Macaca fascicularis: one gene and its partner. The protein of the gene in region 1 interacts with the protein of each later gene in a pairwise test. Links are inferred from orthologs where the notes say so. Each region holds a gene or a part of one and is shown on either strand. Other genes may lie near its edges.

What was found. The genes of interacting proteins can lie anywhere in the genome.
Region 2: the proteins of TMEM239 (region 1) and CXCL16 interact in a two-hybrid assay, tested with the Homo sapiens proteins (2 studies listed by BioGRID). The two-hybrid records come from large-scale screens. The link is inferred for Macaca fascicularis from reciprocal best matches to the Homo sapiens genes TMEM239 and CXCL16.

What each region holds. Positions count from the first base shown.
Region 1 is NC_088384.1:84,489,991-84,495,784, forward strand, and holds the start of TMEM239 (transmembrane protein 239), read right to left. Parts: upstream 3,333-5,794; 5' UTR 3,300-3,332; coding exon 3,219-3,299; intron 3,129-3,218; coding exon 2,622-3,128; 3' UTR 1-2,621. Other genes in the region: C10H20orf141 (uncharacterized protein C20orf141 homolog), read right to left, coding at 3,868-4,105, 4,201-4,460.
Region 2 is NC_088390.1:4,833,288-4,839,326, forward strand, and holds the start of CXCL16 (C-X-C motif chemokine 16), read right to left. Parts: upstream 3,641-6,039; 5' UTR 3,091-3,640; coding exon 2,949-3,090; intron 2,608-2,948; coding exon 2,469-2,607; intron 2,198-2,468; coding exon 2,115-2,197; intron 1-2,114. Other genes in the region: ZMYND15 (zinc finger MYND domain-containing protein 15), read left to right, coding at 4,260-4,848, 5,291-5,774, 6,039-6,039. UniProt on the Homo sapiens protein: Acts as a scavenger receptor on macrophages, which specifically binds to OxLDL (oxidized low density lipoprotein), suggesting that it may be involved in pathophysiology such as atherogenesis. Induces a strong chemotactic response. Induces calcium mobilization.

The sequences.
Region 1 (5,794 bases):
CACTGCACTCCAGCCTGGACAACAAAGCAAGACTCTGTCTTAAAAAAAAAAAAAAAAAAATTGCAGGCTCTGATTCAGCCGGTCTGCAGCAGGGCCTGAGACTGTATTTCTAACCAGCTTCCAGGTGATGCCTATGTTGCTGATTCTGGGACTACATTTTGAGAAGCAAGGCCCTTATAGACCTCTGTGAAAATGCATTCTGGGATTCTGGGTCCTAGGGTATATGCTGATCCAATGTGATGAGTATTGCCCATCTGCTCTCCAGTCTGGCTGCACCTCCTTACCCCATACCAGCTGGGCAGAAGGGTAAAAGGTATATATTCTGCGGGGAAAGGAAGAAGGTCTTCTCCTTGCTGCTGCCCACATCCCATCCACCAGTGCATCTGGTCAGGGCCCAAGACTCCTCTCCCTCTTCATTGGAATGGACCCAAGGCTCCAGAGCAATGTCTCTGGCTAGCAATGCATGGCCAAGTCAATGATGGATCTAGGCCAGGCAACCTGGTCTCCGCCCTCACCACATGGGATCCTGAATCCTCAGCCCGCCAGACATCTAGATTGGTTTGACTCATAACCTCCCTAGGCTTGGGCTTTAGCTCTGATAGGAGCTCTTGAGAAGCCATGGGGTCTTCAGTTAGTCAGGTTGTTTGTGTTTCCTTTGCCCCCTTCACCTTCTCTTGAGTAGCCTGGTAGGACTCAGATGGCCTGGCCTTGCCACTGGCAAATGGCTATCCTGGGCCTGACTTCTCATCTCTAAAATGGGATGGTCACAGCATAGCTATAATTTGTGGTGCTAGGAGCGGTCCCAGGTCCTTCACTCACATGCCAGAACCCTAAGACAGGAGTTCTTGCTTAGTTTTATCCATGAGGAAAGTGAAGTTGAGGAAGGTTTAGCAATTTCCACTAAGGGCATGGAGCTAGTAAGTGAGAGTGCTAGTATTCAAGCCCAGCCTCAGCTCATACACCAAAACCCATCTAACCATGAGACTATGTCAGCCCCATGTCCTACCTTGCTCTCGCTACCAGGCCATAATGCAGGGAGAAATACAAAGAAACAGAAAGGAAGGACTGGACCTTGGGTTTTGGCACTGATGCTGAAGGCATGTAATCAGTGGCATGGAGGGTTGCAAAACTCTAAGGCAAAAATGAACCAGGGTTCTAGGGACCAACCCCAAGGCCCTGAGTATTTATGGGGCAAGAGAAGAGGACCTTGGGTCTGGGGTTTCAAGAGCAAGGATTTTAGGGTTATATATAAAGCAGGGATCAGAACTGGGCAGGAGTTGGGGATGGCCAGGGATTGGGTGGGGGTCAGGTGTGGATAAAGTTGTCTATCATGTAGCTTACTTGGTAATAACTCAATGTTTTGTTGGAGGGGCCAGCAAGTGAACGAATGGCCAGCATTCAGGGCATCAAAGGATTGCCCTTTCCAAAGCCCTTCTGGTGCCTGAGCGGCTTGCTGGGTCAGTTTTGGAAACCCTGGGACTGTGCTTTCCCCACTTACACAGCTGTGCAAGCATCTCCTGGCACCCAGCCCCAGGCCCAAGCATTTCATAATCAAAATAGTTCAACATGTGCACATTTTGAGATTTCATGGCACATGACCTTTTATATCTTGTCCACACTTAACCAACCTCTTGTTTACCATTTTAGGGCCAAAATTCTAACCAGGACAGAGAGTTGATCTGAAAGCCCAGAGAAGCATCCTGTTCCTTCAACAGTCTTTGGGGTCAAAAGATCTTTTGAGCCTACCGAATGTTCTTAGAGGTGAAAACAACATCTTACAGGTTTTTGGTTTTGACAAAATGCTTCACAAATAGATATTGTCTTTGACTCACAACAACCCCATGACAGAAGTGGCCCACCTAACATTGAGACTCAAATGAATTAATTGGCCAAGGCCACACATTGTGTAAGTGGGTGAAATGAGACTTCTTGATCATTTTCCCATAACAGACCTTGGGATTCTTAGAGAGTGAGTAGGTACTGTCTGACCCCAGTTGGCCCATTTCTCAGACTTGGGGATGCGGACTGAGGCAGGAAGTAGGAAGTCTAGGGAGGAGGATGCCTGGGCTGCAAGGTTTGGAGGCGAGGGAGTTGAGGTCTCCTGGCTTCTGGCCAGCCTTCTCCCTGATAGATTTTTGTCACTGGGACCCTCTCTAGAGTCTGTGGTTCTCCTGGAAATGAAAAAAGGGAATTGCTGGGAGGAATGGCAAGGCCAGGGGTGCCCAGGTAGAAGTTTTCAGTGAGTCTGAAGCTGAGACAGCTGAGTGACTGTGAAAAAAAGATGCTGTCAGTTGCCAAGAGGGCCCCACGGGTATCATCACATCCATATGGGCACTGTCAGTGGCTTGGTCAAGCTCTGCCCCTGGCTAAGCAATTTCCACCAATGGCTAAGCCATCTGTTCTGCCCGCTCTTCTCAAAGGCCCCAGCCCCTCACACCAGGAACCTGCAGCATTGACTTGAGGAAGGAGTCCGGGGTCAGGCCAGTCTACCTGTTCGGGACTGGGGGTCTGGGGCCTGCCAAGGCAGGGGGCCCTTATCCCATTGCCCTCCCTCTCCCCACAGGGTCTCAGGCCCTAGGCCAGGGCTCAACAGACACAGGCAGTGGGATGGGGTTGCCCTTCTATTGATCCAAATCCTGAGTGTAGCCTGGGTGAGTCATGGAGGTGAGGAGGCCCACGAGGCTTAGCAGTGTGGAGAAGAGCAGCAGGAAGGAGGCCGTGAAGAGGAGGGCAGGCAGGGCACTGAGCACCAGCAGCAGGAGAGCCGGTAGCAGGTGGCGCCACACGGCGGCCACGACGGGCCACAAGGAGCTCAGTAGGTAGGAGCCAGTGGTGAAGAGTGCATGGCACAGCATCAGTGCCAGCAGCAGGTAGAGTATCCCCTCCAGACCCCACAGCAGGCGCTGCAGCGGTTGCCGCCAGTTCGAGGTGCTCCACCACTGGATCCAGCTCGGGGGCACGTGGCTCACCCACCAGCGTACCCAGCCATGCCTTGTGACCCAGGCTGACCAGGGCACTGCCTGCTGTGGCCCCTCGCCAGCCCCGATGGTATCTGTCTCCACTCGCGGCTGCTGCATCACGGCTGGTGCACCTGGGGAGAGGGCCAGGGCCTTGGAGATGCCTGGGACCTCGGGGCGGGGGGCAGAGAGGGGGTACAGGGGTCAGGAGGGCACCAGTGTGGGTGGGGTGGGGCAACAGAGTTGGGGTCTGGGACTTACCTCTGGGCAGTTACCTAAGTCATGTTGCTTCCTGCAGCACCCAGGACGGCCTGGCAGGCAAATCCAAGTCCCCACTCTCATCTACCCCCACCCTTCCCAGAGGAGCCCCTTTGTGACCCGGGCTGGGGTGGGGTCCAGCCAAGAGAGGAGTCACTGCAGGGTGTGAGGCCCACCCGAGTCCCTCTGCACAGACCCTCCAGGCTGGCAGGGGAGCCTCAGAGCCCCGCAGATGTAGTTTCTCATGCTTTCTCATGGGAAGCCCTCCCTGGATCCCCGTCCCTTCCCTGCTTTCCCTGCTGGCTGATACCCACCCCTTTCCACCCTGCTCTCCTGCAAGTCTTTCTGTCTGGACGTTCATTCTCTAGAGCCACAGAGGAGGTCAGAGTGACTGCCCCCAACCCACAGGCTCTGAGATGGCTGCCACATTCTTCCCCAGGCTCCCTGGCTTGTATCCTGCCTTCTCTGGCGGCCCCAAGACTCAGACCCGGGTATCTGATACCTATATTATAGGACTGGAGGCCCTGTGAGGTTCAGGCTGGGAAGAAAGGGGTATTGTCCCACCTGCCCAGCCAGGAAGGAGAAAAGGGGGCATGAGGAAGCAGGGTGGCCATTGTATATTTGAAGGACACTGAGTTGTGCGGAGGGGCTCTCAGGCCCAAGGATGGAGACAGAAAGCCAGGCCAAGCAGGGTCAAGGGCATGCCGCAGGCTCTCAGAAGCGGGCCCAGCCCCATGAGCAGCAGCAGCAGCGCGTCCTGGAGGCTAAGTTGTCCTGAGACTCTCCCCATTTGCAAGAGTAGAGCCTCCTGCTGTCCTGGACCCTCACCGGCCCCCTGACTCTGGCCCCTCGTGAGAAGTTTGTGCTGTGGCAGAGTGCGACCTGCGGGCCTGTGGAGAGAGAGAGGGTGGCAGCTGGGTTTAGGGAAGTTGTCCACTGGCCTGCCCGCCTACAATGCCCACCTGCCAGGCTGTTGCCCACTTACCTATGGAGCAGGTCAAAGGCGAGGAAGCTGACCAGAAGCAGCAGCAGGGCTGGGCCAGTTGTGGAAAAGACTGCCCGGATTGTCAGCCCTAGTGCCCCCAGCCCTAGGACACTGTCCAGGAGCTGGGCCCAGTTAGGGCCCCAGGAGGACACACGTGGATGCACTGGACTACCCAACCCCTCCCCAGCACCCAGGCCCCTAGGAGGAACTGGGATCGGATCCTCAAGGGCTTCGGGTCTGGGTAAGCAGAGCCGGGTCATGGAGGGAGGTGGAGGTGACAGGAAGAACTAGTGCTGAAAAAGATTACAGGAATGGGAGTTGGGGAAGGGGTAGGGCCCTGGCAGATACAAGGGTGAGCTCGGAGTGGCGAATTAGGTTCCTGCAGAGTCTCCCCCTCCCCCATACTCACCCACCAAACCCTCCTCACTTCCTCCCACTTTGGTCAGCATTCTGGGACTGGGCACCTGGGGCATTGTGACTTGTTGCCAGGTGGGGCCGTGGGGTAGGGAGGGGGCTGCTGCTGCTGCTCTAGCCTCATAAGCAGCTGGTGGCCTAGGTGGGGCTTAGCTGGGAAGTCAGGGATTTCTGAGAACTAAGACTCATCCTCTTGCCTTTGCTAATTCTCTGCCCTAGGGCCCTCCCTTGGGGATCTGAGTTGTCAGGAAGGCATTCTAACCCCATTACTATTTGGGCATCTGTCCAAGGGAGCAAGGTCTGCTTTCTTCTTCCTGTGAGTTTGCAGAGCTGCATGTCCAGGGGCAAGTCATTCAATATCTCTGTCCCCAGCTATCTTCCCTGTGGGTCCTTCTGGGGGATTTTTCAGGCCTGCAGTTCCAGATTGCAGAGATGGGCTCTGCCAGGAGACTGCCTGAGGCTTCTGGGGCGGGGCTGTCATATAACCTGCTAAATGGGGGTGGGAGAGGAGGGGGCTGTTCAGGTGTTCTAAGCACTACAGTTTATAGTGGGTATTATGCATACTGGGTTTCCAGTAATGAGGTAGAGGACATGAATTTAAGAGGACTATGACCTAGTAACCCACATATTAGAGGTTAAGGTTACACTCAGAATGGAGTTATATGAACTTATAACTGAGAATGGAGTTATATGAATGGAAAATGAACATATAATGAAGGGGTTAGTCACCTCGATTATCAGTATATCATATTACACTGATAATCTGTAAATGGGTGGTAGCCATAGGAGTCCAGCGCATCTCAGTTTAGTGACTTGAGAGGCAAGAGTGGAAATGTGTCATAATTAAGAGAACTTAATCTTTGCCCGCATATCATACTTTGAAGGAAAACTGGTAGGGGTGGCAAAAAGGGAGACAGTGGCCATACAGACCCTAGGAGAGGAGGAGACAGAACAAGAATCAGGCTGCATATCCACCTCTAGCAGGCCTTGCCCAGAGACCAGTGTCACCAGCCCTAGCGACCATGCACTGATCGCTCTTGCTCTGGCTGTTCTTGCTTATCCAGCAGCTGGACTTTCGGAGTAGATTTGTCCATAACGGGATAAGGTATAGCAGAAGATCCCAGAATTTTTTTTTTTTTTTTTTTTTTGCATTAAGTTCCAATTGTGTTTGTAAAGGAGC
Region 2 (6,039 bases), on another chromosome or scaffold:
TAACTGGGAGGATGAAAGGAAATCATGTAGGTCTAGGCAGACTTAAAGGCAGTATGGATGACACAGATCATACAAAACTTTAGCTAGGACATGGAAGAACCTTTTGTATTTTAAAGGTTGTATATTTATTTTAAGAGAAAAATACAACCAGTGCATCAAACTTGTGACTTCACAGATGTTATTGCTTAGGATAATTTACTATTTAAGTTTTCTTTCTTTCTTTTTTTTTTTTTTTTGGTTGCCCAGGCTGGAGTGCAATGGCGTGATCTTGGCTCACTGCACTCCGCCCCCAGGTTCAAGCGATTCTCCTGCCTCAGCCTCCCAAGTAGCTGGGATTACAGGCACCTGCCACCATGCCTGGCTAATTTTGTATTTTTAGGAGAGATGGGATTTTACCATGTTGGTCAGGCTGGTCTCAAACTCCTGACCTCAGGTGATCCGCCCGCCTCAGCCTCCCAGAGTGCTGGGATTACAGGCGTGAGCCACCGCGCCCGACCTCTCCAGCCTCGCGAGTTGAGATTTGGAGGAAGATCTGGGGGCCTCTACTTAAGTTTTCAAAACTAGTTTGTGCACACTTAAAAGTAATTCATTTCATTGTACGTAAATTTGAACTCAAAAGAGAAGAAAGCATTAAAATATTGAACTCTACTTAATATACATGCTGAAATGTCTTGGGATGAAGTACAACGATGTCCGCAACCTGCCTTGAAATGCACCAAGAGGCTGGGCATGGTGGCTCACGCCTGTAATCCCAGCACTCTGGGAGGCTGAGGCGGGTGGATCACCTGAGGTCAAGAGTTTGAGACCAGCCTGACCAACATGGAGAAACCTCGTCTCTACTAAAAAAATACAAAAATTAGCCGGGCACGGTGGCGGGCGCCTGTAATCCCAGCTACTTGGGAGGCTGAGGCAGGAGAATTGCTTGAACCTGGGAGGCGGAGGCTGCAGGGAGCTGAGCACACCATTGCACTCCAGCCTGGGTGACAGAGTAAGACTCCATTAAAAAAAAAAAAATGGCCGGGCGAGGTGGCTCAAGCCTGTAATCCCAGCACTTTGGGAGGCCGAGACGGGTGGATCACAAGGTCAGGATCGAGACCATCCTGGCTAACACAGTGAAACCCCGTCTCTACTAAAAAATACAAAAAACTAGCCGGGCGAGCTGGCGGGCGCCTGTGGTCCCAGATACTCGGGAGGCTGAGGCAGGAGAATGGCGTGAACCCGGGAGGCGGAGCTTGCAGTGAGCTGAGATCAGGCCACTGCACTCCAGCCTGGGCGACAGAGCGAGACTCCGTCTCAAAAAAAAAAAAAAAAAAAAAATGCATCGAGAAATAAGGTGATGGATGATGGATAGAAGGATGAATAGATTATACTTAATAAAGCAAATATCGTGTAAGTGCTGTAAAATTGATAGTGTAAAATATATGTTTATGTAAATATGTAAAATATACATAAATAAAATTGTCGAATCTAGGTGGAGGCATTGCATATTCAGTGTGCCATTCTTTCAACTTTTGTATATGTGTAAATTTTCATAATAAAATATTGGAAAAGAAAAATAGGCCAGGTGTGGTGGCTCACGCCTGTAATCCTAGCACTTTTGGAGGCCGAGGCGGGCGGATCACAAGGCCAGGAGTTCAAGACCAGCCTGGCCAACATGGTGAAACCCCGTCTCTACTAAAAATAAAAAAATTAGCCAGGCTTGGTGGTGCGCGCCTGTAATCCCAGCTACTCAGGAGGCTGAGGCAGGAGAATCGCTTGAACCTGGGAGGTAGAGGTTGCAGCAAGCCAAGATCGTGCCACTGCACTCCAGCCTGGACGACAGGGCGAGACTCCATCTCAATAAAATAAAATAAAATAGTACTTTGATTTCAAGAAAAATATTAATAAGTAGACAATAGCACACGTGGTAGAATGAATTGGCAAAAATCATGAAGGTGATGGTGAATGATCAACCCGCTGGCAAACGGGGACTGAGTCTAAGTACTTTGGACAGGATCAGAAGAAGGTTCTGGGAATGTGCGGCCCCAGGAGAAAAGCCTCAGGTAAAGAAGACGGTCAGGTGGAACCCGCTAAGCCCTGGAGGCAGAGCCTGAAGAGCAGTGGGGAAGTCTCACCTTTGAGATCAAGACAGCTCATCAATTCCCGAACCCATGGGTCCTTACTGCCCCCACACACGCTCCAGGAAGGCAACTGGAACCTGCGGAGGAGAGACCTGGGCTCAGCTGCGGCTCCTCCTTTCCTTCCTCATTCCAAAGGCGTTAAGTCGCTACCAAGAGCCCTTTCTGCTGGGACTGGGAAATTCCCCGGTAGGTGCTACGGAGTCATGAAATTTCGGGGAATGGGAGCAAACAGAACCCGGAGATCGGGCTAGGTGCGCCGGGAAGGAGTTCAGGTTTGACCAGAGAGGGTCCTGGACGCACCTGGCAAGGAGGGGCCGCGCAGGCGCTCGCAGAGGCAGGTGAAATTACCTGATGTAGTGTAGACAGTGATGGTAAGCTCTCAGGTGTTTCCGGAGACGATTCATGAACTGAGCCGATGGCGGGGAGTCAGAAGAAATTCTTTTACTACAATGACAGCTTCCAGTGACGGTGCCCTCGTTGCCATTGCCTGAGCAGGACAGAGGTGGTCAGCACGCGTTCCCAGGCCTAGGGTCCCCACTCCGCTGTTCCCTGGCCTCCAATCCACAGCTCCATGACAGCCTCTCCCGTGGACCCAGGGTCAGAGCGCCAGGCTCACCCCACACATTATCACGACCCCCACAACATCCATAATCCCGCCCGGAGCCAGGTGTCCCGGGGCCTCTGTCCCCAACCCCAAGCGGCTGGCTGGCTTTCCTCTTGTCCCCGCTGCCTTCATCAACTCAACTCCGTGGGCCTCATGTCCCCTCCCCAAATCACCCCCTTCCCATGACTGGGGAATCTGGGTCCCCTGTCCCGCCCCCGGCTAACCTGGCGGAGGCAGGCACGCCAGCAGGAGCAGGAGCAGGAGCGCGCGGGCCCCGGGCACCAAGGCCTGTCCCATGTCGGGGCTCCGCGGAGTCTGCGGGGATGGAGCCGCCGCGCTCTGACTCCCAGACAGGCTCCGGCGCATGACGTCCAGCTGGTTTCTCAATGGCTTTCGCCAAGGACTGGAGGAGACGGCGGCCGTCGACGCCAGGTCGCGGCCGGAGAGGAGGCGCGAGCCAGCTGCAGCCCCCGGCCCCGCTGCGCCCCGATCGTGCGCTCAGTACCCGGCCCGCGCCGTGCCAGCCTCTGGCCACAGGGAAAACTCGGGAGGAGGAGCTCCCGCGCCCTGCGCCCCCGCACTGGGCCCGAGCTCCGTGGATGGACGGCCAGGAATCTTGGAAGAAACCGAAAGAAAACTCGGGCGGCGGGCGAGGAGGGGCGGGAGGACGGCGTCCCGAGGAGCCGATTCGGTTCGGTTCAGGAGGCCACCCGCCTCGCCCGCCCCGAGCGCCCGCGGACCTGTGAGGCGGCCGCACGGCCGGACCGGCCCTCGTCCTCCAAGGCACTTTCACTTCCCCGCTCCCGGCGCCGCGGGACCCAGCCGCGCTATATGAGCCTCCCGGGCGGCCCGGTGGAGGGAGTCGCCGCCAGCCCCGGCCGCGCGCACCTGCGGGGCCACCACCCGCGGACGCACCGAGCCCGGGGGCGTGGCCGCCCGCTCAGCCGGCGAGGGCTCGGGCAGCCCTGACGTCACGACCGCACCCGCGCACCCTCCACCCCGAGGTATTTACCTTCGAAAAGTGGTGGCGGCTGCAGGTACCGGAGGATTGGGGTGGTCGGGAGGGGCTAGGTCTACCGGGGCTGCCCGTCACGCCGATCCGAGCGCAGGGAACACCCTCGCTCCCACTCCCATACCCGACGGACACGTCCAAAATGCTTCCCTCCCCACCAAACCCTTCCCGATAGGATTAGCCCTCTCTCCTCTCTAGCCTTAATTTAAACTCTGCTTTTGAGGGTCTGAACTCTCCAATGTTAAGCCCCAAATACCATCTCATCCCTGAGTAGTCTTCTCCAACTCTGGTCACCCACTTTCAAGTCCAGCCCCCATTTTCCTCCCTGAACTCCCATCCTCAGCCCTGAAAACCCTCTTCTCAGCTCCTAGCATATTCGTGGATCCAATCCTAAGTGACTCTCAAACCTACCCTCTCCCCCAAATTTGTGACCTAGCCCCAAACTCCATCGTTGCTCTCCTGTCCCTCACCATATATCCCTTCTTTTGCTCAGTCTGGGCCGGGGCCCTGTGCGCCTGAAGACATGGAGTTTGTGTCTGGATACCGGGATGAGTTCCTTGATTTCGCTGCCCTTCTCTTCGGCTGGTTCCGAAAGTTTGTGGCAGAGCGTGGAGCTGTAGGGACTAGCCTTGAGGGCCGCTGGTGGCAGCTGGAGGCCCAGATCAGAAGGCTGCCCCAGGACCCTGCGCTTTGGGTGCTCCATGTCCTGCCCAACCGTAGTGTGGGCATCAGCCTGGGGCAAGGGGCAGAGCCAGGTCCTGGACCAGGCCTGGGGTCTGCCCGGCTCCTGGGAGATGACCCTCCACTCCACCTGCGAGACCTGAGCCCCTACGTCAGCTTTGTCAGCCTAGAGGACGGGGAGGAAGGGGAGGAGGAAGAGGAGGAAGATGAAGAAGAAGAGAAGAGAGAGGAAGGGGGTGCAGGCACAGAGAAGGTGGAACCAGAGGAGGACCGGGAGCTAGCTCCTAGCAGCAGGGAGTCCCCGCAGGAAACAAACCCTCCAGGAGAGTCAGAGGAGGCTGACCGGGAGGCAGGAGGTGGCAAAGATGGCTGCCGAGAGGACAGGGTGGAGAATGAAACAAGACCCCAGAAGACCAAGGGACAGAGGAGTGGTAAGAACCCAGGGCTGGCCCTGCCCTACCTCTTGCCCAGCCATCCTCCCTTCAGAAGCCCTCCCCTGCCACTAGTTCTGAGTGCTGGCCTTCAGGCCAATCTGGCCTGAAAAGGTGTTTTTATTGACCCACAGTGGGTTTTGTTTTTTTTTAATTTAATGTTTAAACATTACGAGAAAAAAAATATCCAGAAGTCTGGATTTACACATTCCCAAGAAAAATCTCAAGCTCTGACAGGGGGCCTACATTTGTGCATGGCAGCGCGTTCTGGTCCTCTGTAGCAGCTGTCCCCTTTAGAAGGAGTGTGTGCTCTCTACCCAGTGCCCTTTACTCGGTGAGGTTACTTGCCTAGCCCCTGTAGGTATCTGAGTTTGCTACTCCTGACCCTGACCACATGTCTCTCGCTGTCCCCTACCACCTCAACTTTTCCCTCTTTCCCCAGAGGCTGCCCCCCTGCACCTTTCCTGTCTGTTGCTTGTGACGGATGAGCATGGCACCATCTTGGGCATTGATCTGCTAGTGGATGGAGCCCAGGGAACTGCCAGCTGGGGCTCAGGGACTGAGAACCTGGCTCCTCGGGCCTATGCTCTCCTCTGTCATAGCATGGCCTGTCCCATGGGCTCTGGGGACCCCCGAAAGCCCCAACAGCTTACTGTGGGAGATGCCCGGCTGCATCGGTATAGAAATCTGGTATCTGAGGCTGGGGAGGGCTGGGGCCCTGGATTCCCAAGCACCCCCGCCAGCCTGATTCCGTCTTCCCCCCTATTTAGAGAGCTGGAGAGCTTGGTCCCAAGGCTAGGTGTGAAGTTAGCCAAGACCCCAATGCGGACATGGGGTCCCCGGCCAGGCTTCACCTTTGCTTCCCTTCGCGCTCGAACCTGCCACGTGTGTCACAGGCACAGCTTTGAAGTGAAGTTGACACCCTGGTGAGCAGCCCAAAAGCTGCGGGGAGAGGAAGATCCCAACAGTCAGGCAAATAGAAAGAAAGCAGGGTGGTGGGGGCGCCTAGCAGACAGAAGGAGGGGCAGGGACATGAGAAGATGCAGATGAAACAATACAGGCTATTACAGGCAGTTAGAGGGTGTAAGACAAACAGACCGAGGGACATATGGGCAGCTGCTGGGCAGATGGACAGCAGACAGGGCCCACAGAGGTTAACACTAGGTGCCCACCACCCACTGTGTCCTCAGC